Linked DNA regions of Cricetulus griseus. The protein of the gene in region 2 interacts with the protein of the main gene of each other region in a biochemical or structural test. Links are inferred from orthologs where the notes say so. Each region holds a gene or a part of one and is shown on either strand. Other genes may lie near its edges.

Region 1 (7,518 bases), about 39 Mb from region 2:
GACAGCCATGTAGGTAACAAAGCCAGTTGCCCTATTCTTTGAGGGACTTCCCCTCACACTTAAACAAGATCAGAGCAAACACACACCATGGAAAGGCCAGCCTCATTTCTCTCATAACATGGGACAAGTTCACAACATAGTTAAATATAAAGGTGCAATTAAAATGATTAAGTTAGCAAGAGCTACTACTGGTTGGATTTGTGCATGCCTTTAATCCCAGCACTCCAGAGACAGAGACAGGGGAATCTCTGTGCTTTCCAGGTCAGCCTGGTCTATAAAACGAGTCTGGGACAGCCAGAGTTACATAGTGAGACTCTGCCTCAAAAAACAAACAAACAAACAAGGTTACCAAGAGCTGTTTTCCACTCATGCTGTTTTCCGCCTGTGAACAGCATGCCTGCCACAGATGCACTCCTGGCTACCAGAACAGAGGCTGGTCCCCAGGCCCTCCAGGCTGTCAGTTTTCTTTGCATCATCCTCTCACCGACACAGGGAGTTAATCTCATCCCTGTACAGCCTAACTGCCTTCCCCAGAGGCCGCAAGGGGTGTTGCATAGGAAAAGGACAGCCTTAAAAGGGGTGTAAACCAGCAACAGCATCCACTTTCCCCCTTCAGGTCCACCTTTTGCCAGTACCCCAAGCAGTTGCCCCGGGAGTCTTCCAAGATCCACTGAAAGGGATCATCTAATACATTGAGTTCCTGCATGAATGCGGCCATCTCTTAGTCTATTTTTGGTCCAGAAAGACAATGAGAACTCGTCCCCATAACACCTGTTGCAAACAAGAACGGGAAATCAGAAAGGGTAGTTTCTTCCCGAAGAACAGCCCATTTGGAAACTAATCCTTTACTGAGCAACTTTAAACTTATCCTGGGCTTCCCAGGAGAAACTTCGGCTGAAATCCTGAAGACATGACAGGAGGCGCGTCTTCAGGCTGCCCCTGACCACGACTAAGGTCTCCTCCATGCAGTTCCCATGCAGTATCCCCTTCAATCCCGAGCCAAAGCACGGCTCACTGAGCCTGTTCTTCACTAAAGTCCTAAAGCAAAAGCAGCTGCAACGCCAGAAGCAAGCTCTGCAGAGAGAGAACTGTGCAGAGTAAGCAAAAAGTTTATCTGGAAGAGTGGCTCTGTCAAACTTCAAGAGCAACAGCTTCGTACTGAATGACAGAAGCTCCAGCGCTCGGGAAGGTCCCGAAAGAAGGTCTCCTCCTCAACTCTTCACTCATCAAAGGCACAATGCCCTCATCTTCCTCCCTCCTAGCCCACAGGGGCTTCCTGGTCCCCAGACCGCCCTGGACTACGCGGTCTCGCGCCCTCCAAAGCACTCTCAAATGCTCTCCAGGCCCCGCCTCACCTCCCCCATCCCACTCCAGCCGCCCCCTGGCTTCCCCAAGCCCACCAATGACCCACCCCAGGCGCCCCTCCTTTCTCCACGTTTACAGTTCGCTCTCACACGTCCCCCCTCCGCCCCTGCTCACACCCCCGGCTCCCAGTCCCCCCAGTCCCGGTTAACCCCTCACTACTCAGAGGGTCCGTTAACCCTTTGTCCCCACTCCCAACTTCTGTCTTAACTCCGTCCCCAGCATCAGGAAGCTCCCGGCTCCCAAGTCCTTTAACCGTTTTCTTCCTCCCGCTGCTGCAAACTACTTCGTGCCCGGCGCTCGAAGCCGTCCCGGCGGCCCCGGTCCCCCCGAGGCCCAGGGCATACCAGTACTTGACGATAGCGGTGACCTGGAGCGGGTTCGGCTGGTCGGGGTAAAGGCGGCGGCACTCTCCGTAGATGGCGTGCAGTCCCGGGGGAAAGAGTGAGGCGAAGGCCGGAGAGGCACTAGGGCCAGGGGCCGGGGGCGCGGCGGGGCCGGGGGCGACGCTAGGCCGCAGCTCCGCCATCGGGGCGCGTAGGGCGCGCGGGGAACCCGGGAGGGTAGAAGAGGGGAGGCGCCCCGATGGGCCAGCGGACCCACAGTGGACGAGACTCCCCGAGGCGATGGGGGCTACGGCGAGGTCTAACTCCGCGCCTGCGCACGGTGCTCCGTCCGCCCAAGCCCTAGCCTTCGCAGAGTCGGCCAGAGGGTGCTGCGGGACCGCGGGGAGCTCCAGGGGGCGGGGCGTCGGTGTGCCCTTGGCTGCCGCCCATTGGTTAGTGCCGTTGCCAGTCACAAATGGAGAGGCGTGACTTGACAATAGGCCCCGCCTCCCTGCCTCTGTGTTGGGAGCGTCCCAAGGATCTCGGCCTCCCCCTAGTGTTAGGAGGAACCCAGTTTGAAACAGACGCGGAACCTGGAGGTGCCAGGAGTGGTGAAAGCGCTAAGAAGCTCCTAGCTAGTACTGTTTTCCTGATACGCGATTTTAAGATAAGCCTGACAACTGACCAACTCATTCGTTTGTGTGTCTTTATTAATATGTTACAACTCTTTAATATATCTCGGTGCCGATGACTCAAAGAAACTTGAAGAGGCAGGGAAATAAATACTCCAGGGGAAAGCATTTACGCATACTTTCTCTTTGCCTGAATATTCTCACCTATCAAGTTGTTTTTGTTTGTTGTTGTTTTTTTTTTTTTTTTGGTTTTTCGAGACAGGGTTTTTCTGTGGCTTTGGAGGCTGTCCTGGAACTAGCTCTTGTAGACCAGGCTGGTCTCGAACTCACAGAGATCCGCCTGCCTCTGCCCCCCCCCCCCAGGGCTGGGGTTAAAGGCATGTGCCACCAATGTCCGGCTCCATCAAGGTTTTAAGCTCAAGAAAAGATACTAAAGCAGTCTCTAAACCTGTAGATAATATTTTAGACCAGTATTCTATTGCATCCAACTACAGGTATTTTTTTGATAACCTTTGTTTTGCTTCATGGGTTTTTTGTTTTGTTTTTTCGAGACAAGGTTTTTCTGTGTAGTCCCGGTTGTCCTGGAAACTCTGCAGACCAAACTGGCCTCGAACTCAGAGATCCGCCTGCCTCTGCCTCCAGGGTGCGCCACTAGCTACGGGCACTGCTGCGCTTCTTATACGTGCTGGGAAAGCATTCTGCCCTTGAGCGACATTTCAGTGCCAGAAATGTTTATTAATGGTTTACATTGCCCAAGTGCAGGAATGGCTGAGTGGTGAGATGAATAGGTAAAACTCAACAGCCCCTGAACTACTGTCAAACCTAACCTCAACTAAGTACAAGTACTCCAGACTCTGGAATTTAAAGGAAAAGCTTCGAAGGGACTACAAATCCAGGCATGCACCATAATGAACACCTGTGGCGCTTGACTCTACCGAGACTACAAACCCCATCGCACCCTTCATCGGAAACACAATCCAGTTTTCTAAACCCGGCGGGACTCGGGCTCTGCCTGGAGCGCCAGCCCTGGGGCAAAGGATGCTGGGGATTGTAGTTCTTCGGAGACGAGGTCGGGCCGCTCCCTGGACGGCCAGTACCGGCGACTAGACTGCGCATGCGCGTCAGTGGCGTTTGCAGCGGACCGGGCTGGCAGTTCCTTCCTCGGAAGGAAAGATTCCTCTGCCATGGAGTCCTACGATGTGATCGCCAACCAGCCTGTCGTGATCGACAACGTGAGTAGCGCCTTTCCTATCTCTAGAGAGACTGCGCTGCCCTCCAGAAAGGGTCGCTTCCGAGGTTTCAGCCTAGGCCGCCTGCTCTTTGTCACTGGCCCGGCCTGTCAGGCGGGTCCAGCCGCCGCCGCCCCCGTCCTCCCCACAGCCACAGTTTGCAGGCAGGGCGGCCAGCAGCACTCGTGTGATGGAGAGCTTGGGCGTAAACAAAGGGAAGAGCTGTAGCCCGAGAAGGGTCCTTGGACCCTCGGCTCAAGGGGCCTTAACCGTTCTGAGACCCTAGCACCCGCCTTCTCCCTGGCTTCTCGTCACCCAATTGGCTGCTCTCGCTGTCTATCTCAGCCTGTTGGTCCCGCCTTTGGGCCTGGCCGGATTAGACCAGCAGTGTGCGGTAATTGGCTGGCGAGCCTGTCGCTTCCTTTCTGGGAGGGGTGGGGCGGTGCGCTGGGGCGGCGGGGATTGGCTTGGCGCACTCCGGGAGCGGAAGGCGACGGCTGGTCCAGCGGTGAAGGTGGGGTGTGAGCCGGCTGGGCCGCATAGGAAACTGAATCAGGGTGGGGCCGCATAATGCGGTGCCAGAAATGCCTATGGGATTCCAGTTATTTTTGTGATTAGGAATTCTCGTTAGCAGCGGTAAACAAAGAAGGAGAGTGACAAAGCAGGCCAGGTGCCCTCCTCTCGGCCGTGCCCGGCTGAGAGGCCGGGAGGTGACCAGACGCGTGAGCGTCTGTCAGGTACGCTAGCGTTTCCAGGGCGCTCTCGCCAGCCTGTCAGTTGAAGCCAACCTCACAGAAAGTGAACGGTTAAGAAGGAAGTTTGCGTCTCCTTTCACAGAACGAACACCGAAGATGGAAGTGACCAAGGTCATATTCCGCAGCGGTGCCCTGTATAAGTTCATCGCCTTATCTAAATGTCATCCCTTTGCTAACCACCCCTCCACGAACGCATCGATAATGATGAATAGAAAGAGCCTAAGGATTGCCTTTATGAGGCGGGGCAGTATGTCTAAGGTTTCTATGCTTCACCCAAAGTTTTGGTCCTGTGCTCTTTCAGCATCCCTCCTTTGAGAAACCGCTGTGGAGTAACCCCTCTGTCCTAGGCCGACCTTATCGGAGTAACTGTGATGTTCAGCCCTTCTCACCTGGGCGTGCCGCTAGGTTCTTTTATTTGCATAGTAGGTAGATGGAGATTGCTTTCCCAGTTTATGCAGGAACGTGAGACTCGGGAAGGTTTTTCAGACGGCCCCGTTAGGAGTTGAAGATCCAAGACTAACAATGAAATCATCTAGTTCCAAGTTCTTCAATCTTTCAAGGAAGGCTGTCTTATTTGTTGTAAACTGCCTTTTTAAAAGGTGAGGCTGAGCCTGGCAGTGGTGGCGCACACCTTTGATCCCCCAGCACTCTGGAGGCAGAGGCAGGTGGAACTGTTTTAGTTCAAGGTCAGCTTGGTCTACAGAGCTAGTTCCAGGACAGCCAGGACTGTTATATAGAGAAACCTTGTTTTGTTTTGGAAAACAAAAAACAAAGTGAAGCTGAGACTCGGCGGGGAGGGGGGGGGTATGTCACCCGGCTGGTAGCATTGTCTGACATTTGTGAAATCCTGGGCTCCATCCCCAGACAGCATAGACCTGGTATAGAAGTCAGATGTGGGGCTGGAGAGATGGCTCAGAGGTTAAGAGTACTCGCTGCTCTTACAGAGGTCAATTCCAGCAACCACATGGTGGCTCACAGCCTTCTGTAATGCAACCTGGTACCCTCTTCTGGCCTGGGCAGAACATTATACATAATAAATATAAATAAATAAATATTTAAAAAAAGAAGTCAGATGTGGTCCATGCCTGTAATCCCAGCACTTGGAGACAGGAAAATCAGAAATTCAAGGTCATTGTTTGAAGCCAGCCTCTAAGACCCTGTTTGTTTGTTTGGGATAGTAGGTTAAGCAAAGTTAAATGAGACACCTTGTTTTGAAGTATTAGTTTTTGTCTTCACTTAGACTAGACAGACTTTTTAAATCATGTGGGGAGAGTGAGATCCTTCATTTTTCATCCCACAATGTCTCTCTCCCCTCCCCTCCCTCCATCTCTATCTTGTGTGTGTGGTGTGTGGTGTGTGTGTGTGTCTGTCTGTGTGTGTCCAGATGTGTCTCTTGTGCATGACCACACACGTGCATGTGAGAGAGCTGGTGCCTTTGGAGGCCAGAAGAGGGCTTAAATTTTGTAGAACTAGCGGCCGCAGGCAGTTATGAACTATCCAACATGAATGGGGTGCAGGGAAGGATGCAAACTCTGGATCTATCCCAGTGTGGCAGCTGGTGCTCTTTAACTACTGGGCCATCTCTCCAGCTCACCACTACTCCTCTTCCACCCGACTCTACAAGGCATTGAGAGCCCGGTACCACTATGCACACAATAAAGCCTTTTCATTGGCTAGGTGAGTGGATAGGTGAATAACTAATGATCTCTATCATGGTAACAGAAAATGGCCAGGGGGAAGGGAGACCCAATCAAGGTGAGGGGTTTCAGATATGTTTGTAATTCTGCAAATGATAGAGTGATACTTCTTTCTTTAGTTTGTTTGAGACGGGGTCTCAAGACACTTCTTGTTCTCAGTGTTGATATCCAGAGAGCATGACTACTTATGTCTTTAGCTACCTGTGTTTTGGAGCTACCTCTTTCTTAGTCATTAAAAAATGCAGAGAAGTGCCAAGTCTCAGACTGGAGAAATGACTCAGCAGTTACGAGCACTTGGTCCTCTTGTAGAGGGCCAGAGCTCCGTTCCTAGTACCCATGTAGGCAGCTGACAACCTGAAACTAGAACGCCAGAGGGTCAGATGCTCTCTTTGGTCTGAGGGTACTTGCACTTCACCTGCACAGACACACATACAAGACATGTGCATATACACATAATTATTTTTTAAAAGAATTGTCAGCTTTTGTTTTGGCATTAGCAGTGCAAGAAGCATCGGTTCACCCCACCATCCCCTTTTCCTTGGATCCCTCAGGGGAGTTGAAGTTACAGGTGGTTGCGAATCACTCAGTATGGATTCTGGGAACCAGACTCCAGTCCTTTGGGAGAACATCGATTGCTCTTAACTGATGAGCTATCTCTTTGGCCCCCTTACTTCTTTTTTGTTTTTTGAGATCTAAATGAGTCTGAAAGTTTGTGTGCTACCTGCATGCAGTGCCCTTGGAAGCCAGAAGAGGGCATCTGATGACTGGAACTGGAATTCCAGACAGTTGTAAGCTGCCTAGTTGGTGCTTGGGAGTCAAACCTGTGTCCTGTGGAAGAGCAGCAAGTGCTCTTAGCTGATGAGCCATCCCTCGGCCTTTGTTCCTTTTCTTACAAAGATCCTCACTCTGTAGCTCTGGCTACCCAGGGGATTCATTATATAGACAAAGCCAGCTTCAAACTTAGGGGCCTCCTGTCTACCTGCCTCCAGAGAGCTGAGATTACAGGTGTGTACCAGCTGGTTTTTGGATTTTCCTGGAAAATCAGAAGGATAATTTCACGTGCAGTCTTTAATTTGTAACCATTGCCAGTAAATCTAACAGTATGCTGTGGTTTATAAAAACAGGTAGGTTGGTAGCTACAAGTGCTGGAAGAATGGGTACATATAATGCAGAATGACTGTTACTGGGCACAGGGCCTCTTTTGAGAGTGATAAAAAATTCTTCAGTTAGTTACAAATTTATGGCTAGCCTTGGCTATATGGTTAAACCCTGGTTATATACAATTCTGACCATACTAAAATACATAGAATTGTACTATACCTTAAATTAGTAAATTGTGTATGTGAAATGTAAATTTTATCTCAGTAAGTTTTTTGTCTTTCTTTAAATCTTCAAAGTGCTTTCTGAACCAAATGAAAGTCTTGGGATCAAAATGAACCAATTAACAACCCCTGTCCTAGAACCAGTGCTCTCAGCACCCAGCTCTCACTTGTGAGATGGGGACCATTGTCCTCTTT
Region 2 (6,726 bases):
CAGAGCTCTGACCCACCTTCAGGATCCAGGAGCTTGGTCAGGCCAAGTTCCTTTTCAGCCAGATTGAAAGCATTCTGCAGATTGTAGTGTGCATTGCACTTCTTCAGGGACTCAAAATCCAGCAGGTCTGGCCTAGGGGTGAGAGTGGGGGGTGACACAGAACACATCCAAAGCATGTCAGAGCCCAAAGAAAACAATGTAAATTCATTCCTGGCTTGAAGTGCCCCAAGCCCCCTGGAAGTATACCATCCTACTTGCCGGCTCCTCTCGCACATTCTTTTCCCTGTTCTTTTTGAGACAGGGTCTCTTCTTATGCAGCCTTGACTGGCCTGGAATTCACTTTGAGACCAGACTGGCCTTGAATTTGCTGCCCCCTTAAAGACTGAGATTTCCCTTCATTTTTTCCTCTATAACTATGCTGTAATTCAGTCACTCTCCTGGCCTCTGCTGTGTTCTCCTGGGCCATTAATCCATGTATTCACCAAACCCGTGAATTCACCAAACACTTACCGGTGTTTGTGCACGATGGCATTAAAGGCCAGCCCATCTCTCCAACTGGTGGTAAAGTTGTGCACATTGACATTGGGATACCTATAAAGAAAGACCAGGAAAAAATAGCGAGTGCTTCAGAGCCCTGGTCTGTGATAAAAGAACATCAGGCAGGTTGTGAACCGGAGAGTCCATCTCAGTGTGGCCAACCCCTATAGCCATGCTCCTGGATCTCCTCACCCTGCGGTCTTCATCTGGCACCACAGCAGCAGGGCATCCTTGGCTGATTTCTTCTCCTTGTTGTCTTCTGTCTCCACACTGATGTCTTGGATCTGAGAAAGTAGCAAATAGGACCTTCACTCCCCATTGGGTGTCTTGGTGATACCAGAGACACTCAGAAAAATCACAGAAAACTGATCTTTAGGAGTGTTGTATAATGGGCCCCTTATTTCCTGGGCTAGTGACACTTATTATCAGGCCCAGAGGATCTGAAGTAGGGTGTCGGTGGAGCGGAAGTACCTATGAGTAAGGGAGCTGGTTCTTCCAGGTGGAGAATGTGAGCAGGGGAATGAATGTTTTCTGAGAGCTGGCTTTCAAAGATAGAGCTGAAAGAGCTCTGTTTTGAGTGAAAGAGGGAGAGGGCCACTGGGGAAGGACAGGTACAATTAGAGCAGTTGAGGTGACACTGAGACGGAGTATCATGGAAAGTAAATGGATATGCTTCAAGGGCAGCTGCTCTAGGAAGCTCCCTATGCTCAATTTTTTTTAGAACACTTTTTTAAAAAAAAAAGATTTTATTTATTTATTACGTATACAACATTCTGCTTCCATGTATATCTGCACACCAGAAGAGGGCACCAGATCTCATAAGGGATGGTTGGGAGCCACCATATGGTTGCTGGGAATTGAACTCAGGACCTCTGGAAGAGCAGTCAGTGCTCTTAACCTCTGAGCCATCTCTCCAGCCCTCTATGCTCAATTTTTAAATTTATTTATTATTTTATTTTTATGTGTATGGGTATTTTGCCTGTATGTTTATCTGTGCGCCATGTGTGTGCCTGGTGTTCTCAGAGGCCAGAAGAAGGTATTAGATCCCATAGAACTAGAGTTATAAGTGGTTGTGAGCTGCCAAATGGGTACTGGGAATTAAACCCAGTTCCTCTGGAAGAACAGCCATTATAGTGTTTTTAACTCTTAGGCCATCTCTCCAGCCCCTCAATTTTTGTTTCTATCTTGTCATGGACCATAATAAGTTAACAGTGTGGGGGCATAAAACTGATTGGTGCACAGCTCACACCTTAGATAACACTTGGAGGATACCTGGAATCGAAGGATGATGGTCCACACCAGCCCGAGGGTCAGACGGTGGTTTCCGTCCACGATGTCATGGGAGCCCATGTTTTCCAAGTGTACTTTCTGCTCCTTCAGGAACTGTAGTGCTTTATCCACATTCTCCAGGCAGTGAATCCGCATTCGGCCCTTTGTGGGCTTTGGCTGTGGGTGGATGGAAGGCACAGTGGCATGGGACCACGGCTCTCTTTCTTCTTAGTTTTCTCAGCAACCTGCCCCATACCTCCCATGACTTCCTTTGGGAACACAGTGACAGCCCTAGGGTCAAGCCAGAGGTCATGGAGCCCAAGCAAGGTTACAGATGAGGCTTGGGCAGATTAAGATTCCCAAGGGAATTAATTGCACCCAGAGTGGGTGGGAGAAGAAATGTTTTCAATGGGGCCACTGTTCCTGTCTCTGCAAAGCATGGCTCCCATGTAATCAGGTAGCAAAGCCTCTTGGAATGAGAGCATCCTCTAGTCAGAGGAGCCTTGGTATATTGCTCAGTGCTCTATGGCAGCCCCTGTGGTTTGTTCCCTGAAGCTCCCTCTTCTGTTCACTACCCCTGCTCACCAGGGTCTCTCCCGAGAGCACCTCCAGGAGCCTCAGGAGGTTGCGCCCGTCCCGCAGGTCGCTGTACAGGTCTCCCACCCGGCATGTCACCCGGGCCAGGTGGGAGTTCACCCACTTGGTGAAGGTTTTCTTCTGCACAGCTTCTCGTTCATCTGCAGCGACAACAAGGAGTCACTTCTGCCCTTCAAGGACAGTATGCTTGCTTCTAAACACCAACTGGCATGGTGTGGAATGTGGTGCCTGAGAGAGCAGAAGTGACAGCTGGGATCGGCAGGGTTAGCGATGACCAAGAGAAAAAAGCTAAGAAATGAAGAGGCCGGGATGAGCTCATGAGCAAAGGAAAGGATAAAAAGAGGAAGACAAAGTCTTCAATCCCAGGTGGAGACAGGTGGATCTCTGTGAGTTTGAGGCCAGCCTGGTCTACAGAGAGTGTTCCAGGACAGCCAAGGCTACATGGAGAAACCCTGTCTCTGAAAAAAAACAAAACAAAACAACAACAAAAAAAGAAAAACCAAGACAGATAAAAAAGGCCTCAAGAAGAAATGCCCAGGAAGGTGCTGGGGTTAGGCTTCATGCTGTAAAGAGATGAAATACTGACAACTTACTCAGTGCCTCAGTTTCTCTATTTGTAGGATGAGCATATTATTTCCTACTTTATTGGGTCACTGTAGCAATTAAATGAGATACTGGGTATGACACATTTAGTGGTTGCCCAGTGTGATGTGGCTCCCTGTTGGGGAGCTTTGATAAAGGCAGGGCCCTCCTTCTCCTTCAACTGTGGCAAGGGAGAAGATGTGGCCTGTAAATATGACAGATCTCGCAGATGGTCAGCAACTGGACTTGACCGTGGAGAGGTTGTGTGGGCCTTTAAGGCAGCTCCCTGTTCTGGGTCATGTACAGAAACGGTAGGCTACTCTACCCCAAGGCAGTGTTGCACAGTTGGCTATAGTGGATCCAGACCTAGAACACCAATACCCCAAGATTCAGAAAGACTTTATAAGAATTTAGGCCAGGCATGGTGCTGCATGTCTTTAATCTTGGAAGGCAGAAGCAGGCCTATCTCTGCGAATTCCAGACCAGCCATGGCAGATCTCACCAGACAGTGAGATCCTGTCTCAAACAAAAACAAATGGCGCACAGCTTTAGACCCAGCACTCGGGAGGCAGAGGCAGGCGGATCTCTGTCTACAGCCTTGTCTACAGAGAAAGTTCCAGGACAACCTCCAAAGCTACAGAGAAACCCTGTCTCAACCCCCCTCCGCCCAAAAAAAGAACTTTCAAGTTCAAGGGAGTAATGCAGGTGGAGTTGAGTGCCAACCTCCAGGAGAGGTAGGCAAGGCCAGGTAGCCTAGTCCCCAGGGGGAGCTCCTAACAAGGGATGCTGTCAGGTTGCACAGGAAGCTGATGATTAAAAATGTTATAAATGGAAAGGGACAGGTAAGCTCTGCACAGTAAGCTACTTTAGAGGTCAGAGAGACCCATGTGGGGACCCAGCCACAGGGGTATGTGTGTAGATTTACTTCCATCTCAGAACCAGTACCTCAGAAATCTAGACTCAACCCTTAATTTCATGTTCCTGTGCACCTCCCCCATAAAACAGCCACACACCCAAGTCTACTCCTGACTTCCTCACCTCCAATTCCTGTGCCTATGCCAAACCTGGGATCCTAACCACCGTGTGGGATAACCCCCCCCCACTCCAGCACTTGTGATGCCTATGGTGACTCTGGACCTCTTTTAGGGTCCTAGGCCCTATATGAGTTGAGGACAGATTAAGTCATCTGGCCATTACTGAATCCACGGAGACCTCTCTGATACCAGGCAGGCTGGTGTGAGGCCCATAGGTAGACTAAAGTGGAAGCAGTACCTAGAAAGACCTGGTAAAGCTAGACACCCAAGTGTAGCATTACAAGACATCCCTAAACACACACACCATGAAATAAACTATCATGTGCCAAGATGAACATTCCTGTTCAGACACCTATGGACCTGTGTGTACAAACCCTCCCCTTTGACACACGCTCTCTATTTTCTACACATCCTCCCTCCACAGTCATTCTGAAGCCCAGGAAAACACATAGAAGCTCAAGGTCCTAGGCCTCTAGCCCATTCCCCTTTTCTCCTTCCTTAACAAGGCCAACATGGCCAAACCATGAGGGTGAGCCACCAGGGAGACTGCGAGGGCCTCTCTAGCGGACGACATGAACCCACAAGCTACCTTCACCCTCATCACCTTTGCACCCAGCAGGGCACCCCCACCCCAGGTCTCATTCAGTAGAATTTCAGTTGTCCACATATCTGGATTCTCTGGCTACTTGCAATGATTCCCTGTAAGTTCCACCACGTTGAGTAACAGGGGTTCCAGGCATGCTAGCTCTTCCTATCCCAGGTCCCCTTTGGCACACAGGCTCCCTCTGCCCCGGGGAAACTCACCTTGAAGCTGTTTGAAGCGTCCTTCCAGCACACTGGCATACTGAGCAGGATTGATGAAGGCAGCTGGTGAGAGCAGGACGCCCCCAGGGTTCTGAGACCCTTCCACAGCCTCATAGTAAAACTCACCGGCCCCGTTCAGGCCATTTCCATGTATCCTGCCCACTCCGTTCGCACTCATGGTGCCTGCTACCTCCTACTCAGCCTGTGGCCCAGAGTCCATGCTCCCCTGCCAGGGCAGGGCCAAGAGTGTGTGTCCCCTAAGCCTGTGCTGGGGGTCCAAAAAAAGGCTTCCGTACCTGGTTGGGTGGAGTTGTTTCAAGGATGCTGGGAGTTTCAAGGAGTGGGGGGAAAGTTTTAGGATGCCTGAGCTTCTGAGACAGTGAGTAGGGCACACCTGGTTGTGGGGAGAGGAGACAGAGGCAGCTCCAGACAAACAGGTCGGACAGTGGCGGGGGAGGGGCACGCTGCTCAGGAGGCGGAGCCAGTTGGGGCTTGGCCAGGCCCTGCAGGGGCGGAGGAGGGTGTTGCCAGCACCCAGAGAGAGACCTGCTCGTCAGGCCACTAGTTGCCCAAGACTAGGGAAAACCTGCCAGAGGGGGCCCCAAAGCAAACTCCTGCTTTCAGAAGGTCTGCCGTGGGCAAGGCCTCTCTGGGCATCTATGGGTGGGCTTGTTTCAGGACACCTGAACTTTGATCTCGGCCCCTGAGAACAGAGAAACAGGAAGCAAGGAGATCCTGGAAGAGAAGCAGGTGTGCCCGTTTTGACTTCTATGGCCTCCTCTGGGGAGTAAGTATTGCAAATGTCCCCCAGCACCAGCCCTTTGCGCACCAGGCCCCTCAGTCAACATCTCAGCCCCCATACACCCTAGTAATGGGTACAACTATGAGGTGCCCTTCCTACCTCTTCCTGGGCTTCTGCTTTTGTCACTGGCACCTACACTTGTTCCTTCTCATCCTTAATCATTTAGGATTTATTTGGCACCTACTGAGTGAGTGGCACTGTGCACAGCAAAGCCCATTCAGAGATGGCTCTTCAGGGGAGCCTGCCTTGAGCGGGGGATAAACACTCCACAAGAGCACCGAGTGGTGTGTGCATATGGTGACTGTTCTGATCGGAGCAAGTCTTGTGTGCAGCTTGACAGGACTTATGTGTCAGATGCTCAGACATGATAGCAGTACTGAGTGGCACGTGGCATGCTCACAGACATGGTGAGAGCTGAGTAGCACCTGTCACATGAGCGAGACCTAGAAGATTTACGGGGTGGCATATAGCATGTACACGTAGATATAATGATCACATGGATTGGCATGTGACCTGTACAGGCACAGTGACACTTCTGGGAGGTATGTGTCATTGCAGATATCAGGAGAGTTTGGGGTAGCATGTGCACAATGACATCAATGATAGTACCAGAGGATACACGAATCTAAAAACAGGGAGCCAGGCACACTTCCCCAAAGACGTGACATTTTCCGTACCCCACATTTCCTGTCTTCCCTGAACTACTGAAGTACCGATAGAGTTTTTGTCAGCCAGTCTTCAGTCCCAGCCAGGAAGATGCCAGGAGAAAGTGACCCATGAATCCTACAAGCTGTAGCCATTATCTGGTGCTGAGCTGGCTGAGTATAATTTCCCCGGGAAAGCTCTCAAGAATCATGAGTTCTGAACTATATGTCTAAAGGTTCTGAAGTTCATCTCTCTTGAGAACCCGAATTTGTAAAAATCAAGGCCTCTGAATCTCTGCTGCTGGGAGCCACCCTGCTGGGCGATCACTCCTTAAGTGGAAGTAATGTTCTCTCACACTGGAGCTGGCACGGCCATGGGCAGGTCAGTAGCTATGGAGAGGTTGGGATGAATGTAGGAGGCAGATTGGGTGGGTGGCCTTAGGGTGTGTGGGTGACT

What was found.
Region 1: the proteins of Sptbn2 (region 2) and Actr1a form a complex in vitro, tested with the Homo sapiens proteins (2 studies listed by BioGRID). The link is inferred for Cricetulus griseus from reciprocal best matches to the Homo sapiens genes SPTBN2 and ACTR1A.

The regions. Positions count from the first base shown.
Region 1 is NC_048596.1:15,199,969-15,207,486, forward strand, and holds the start of Actr1a (alpha-centractin), read left to right. Parts: upstream 1-3,397; 5' UTR 3,398-3,504; coding exon 3,505-3,552; intron 3,553-7,518. Other genes in the region: Sufu (suppressor of fused homolog), read right to left, coding at 1,710-1,891. UniProt on the Homo sapiens protein: Part of the ACTR1A/ACTB filament around which the dynactin complex is built. The dynactin multiprotein complex activates the molecular motor dynein for ultra-processive transport along microtubules.
Region 2 is NC_048596.1:54,562,332-54,569,057, forward strand, and holds part of Sptbn2 (spectrin beta chain, non-erythrocytic 2), read right to left. Parts: intron 2,544-6,726; coding exon 2,392-2,543; intron 1,984-2,391; coding exon 1,810-1,983; intron 822-1,809; coding exon 730-821; intron 592-729; coding exon 511-591; intron 133-510; coding exon 17-132; intron 1-16. UniProt on the Homo sapiens protein: Probably plays an important role in neuronal membrane skeleton.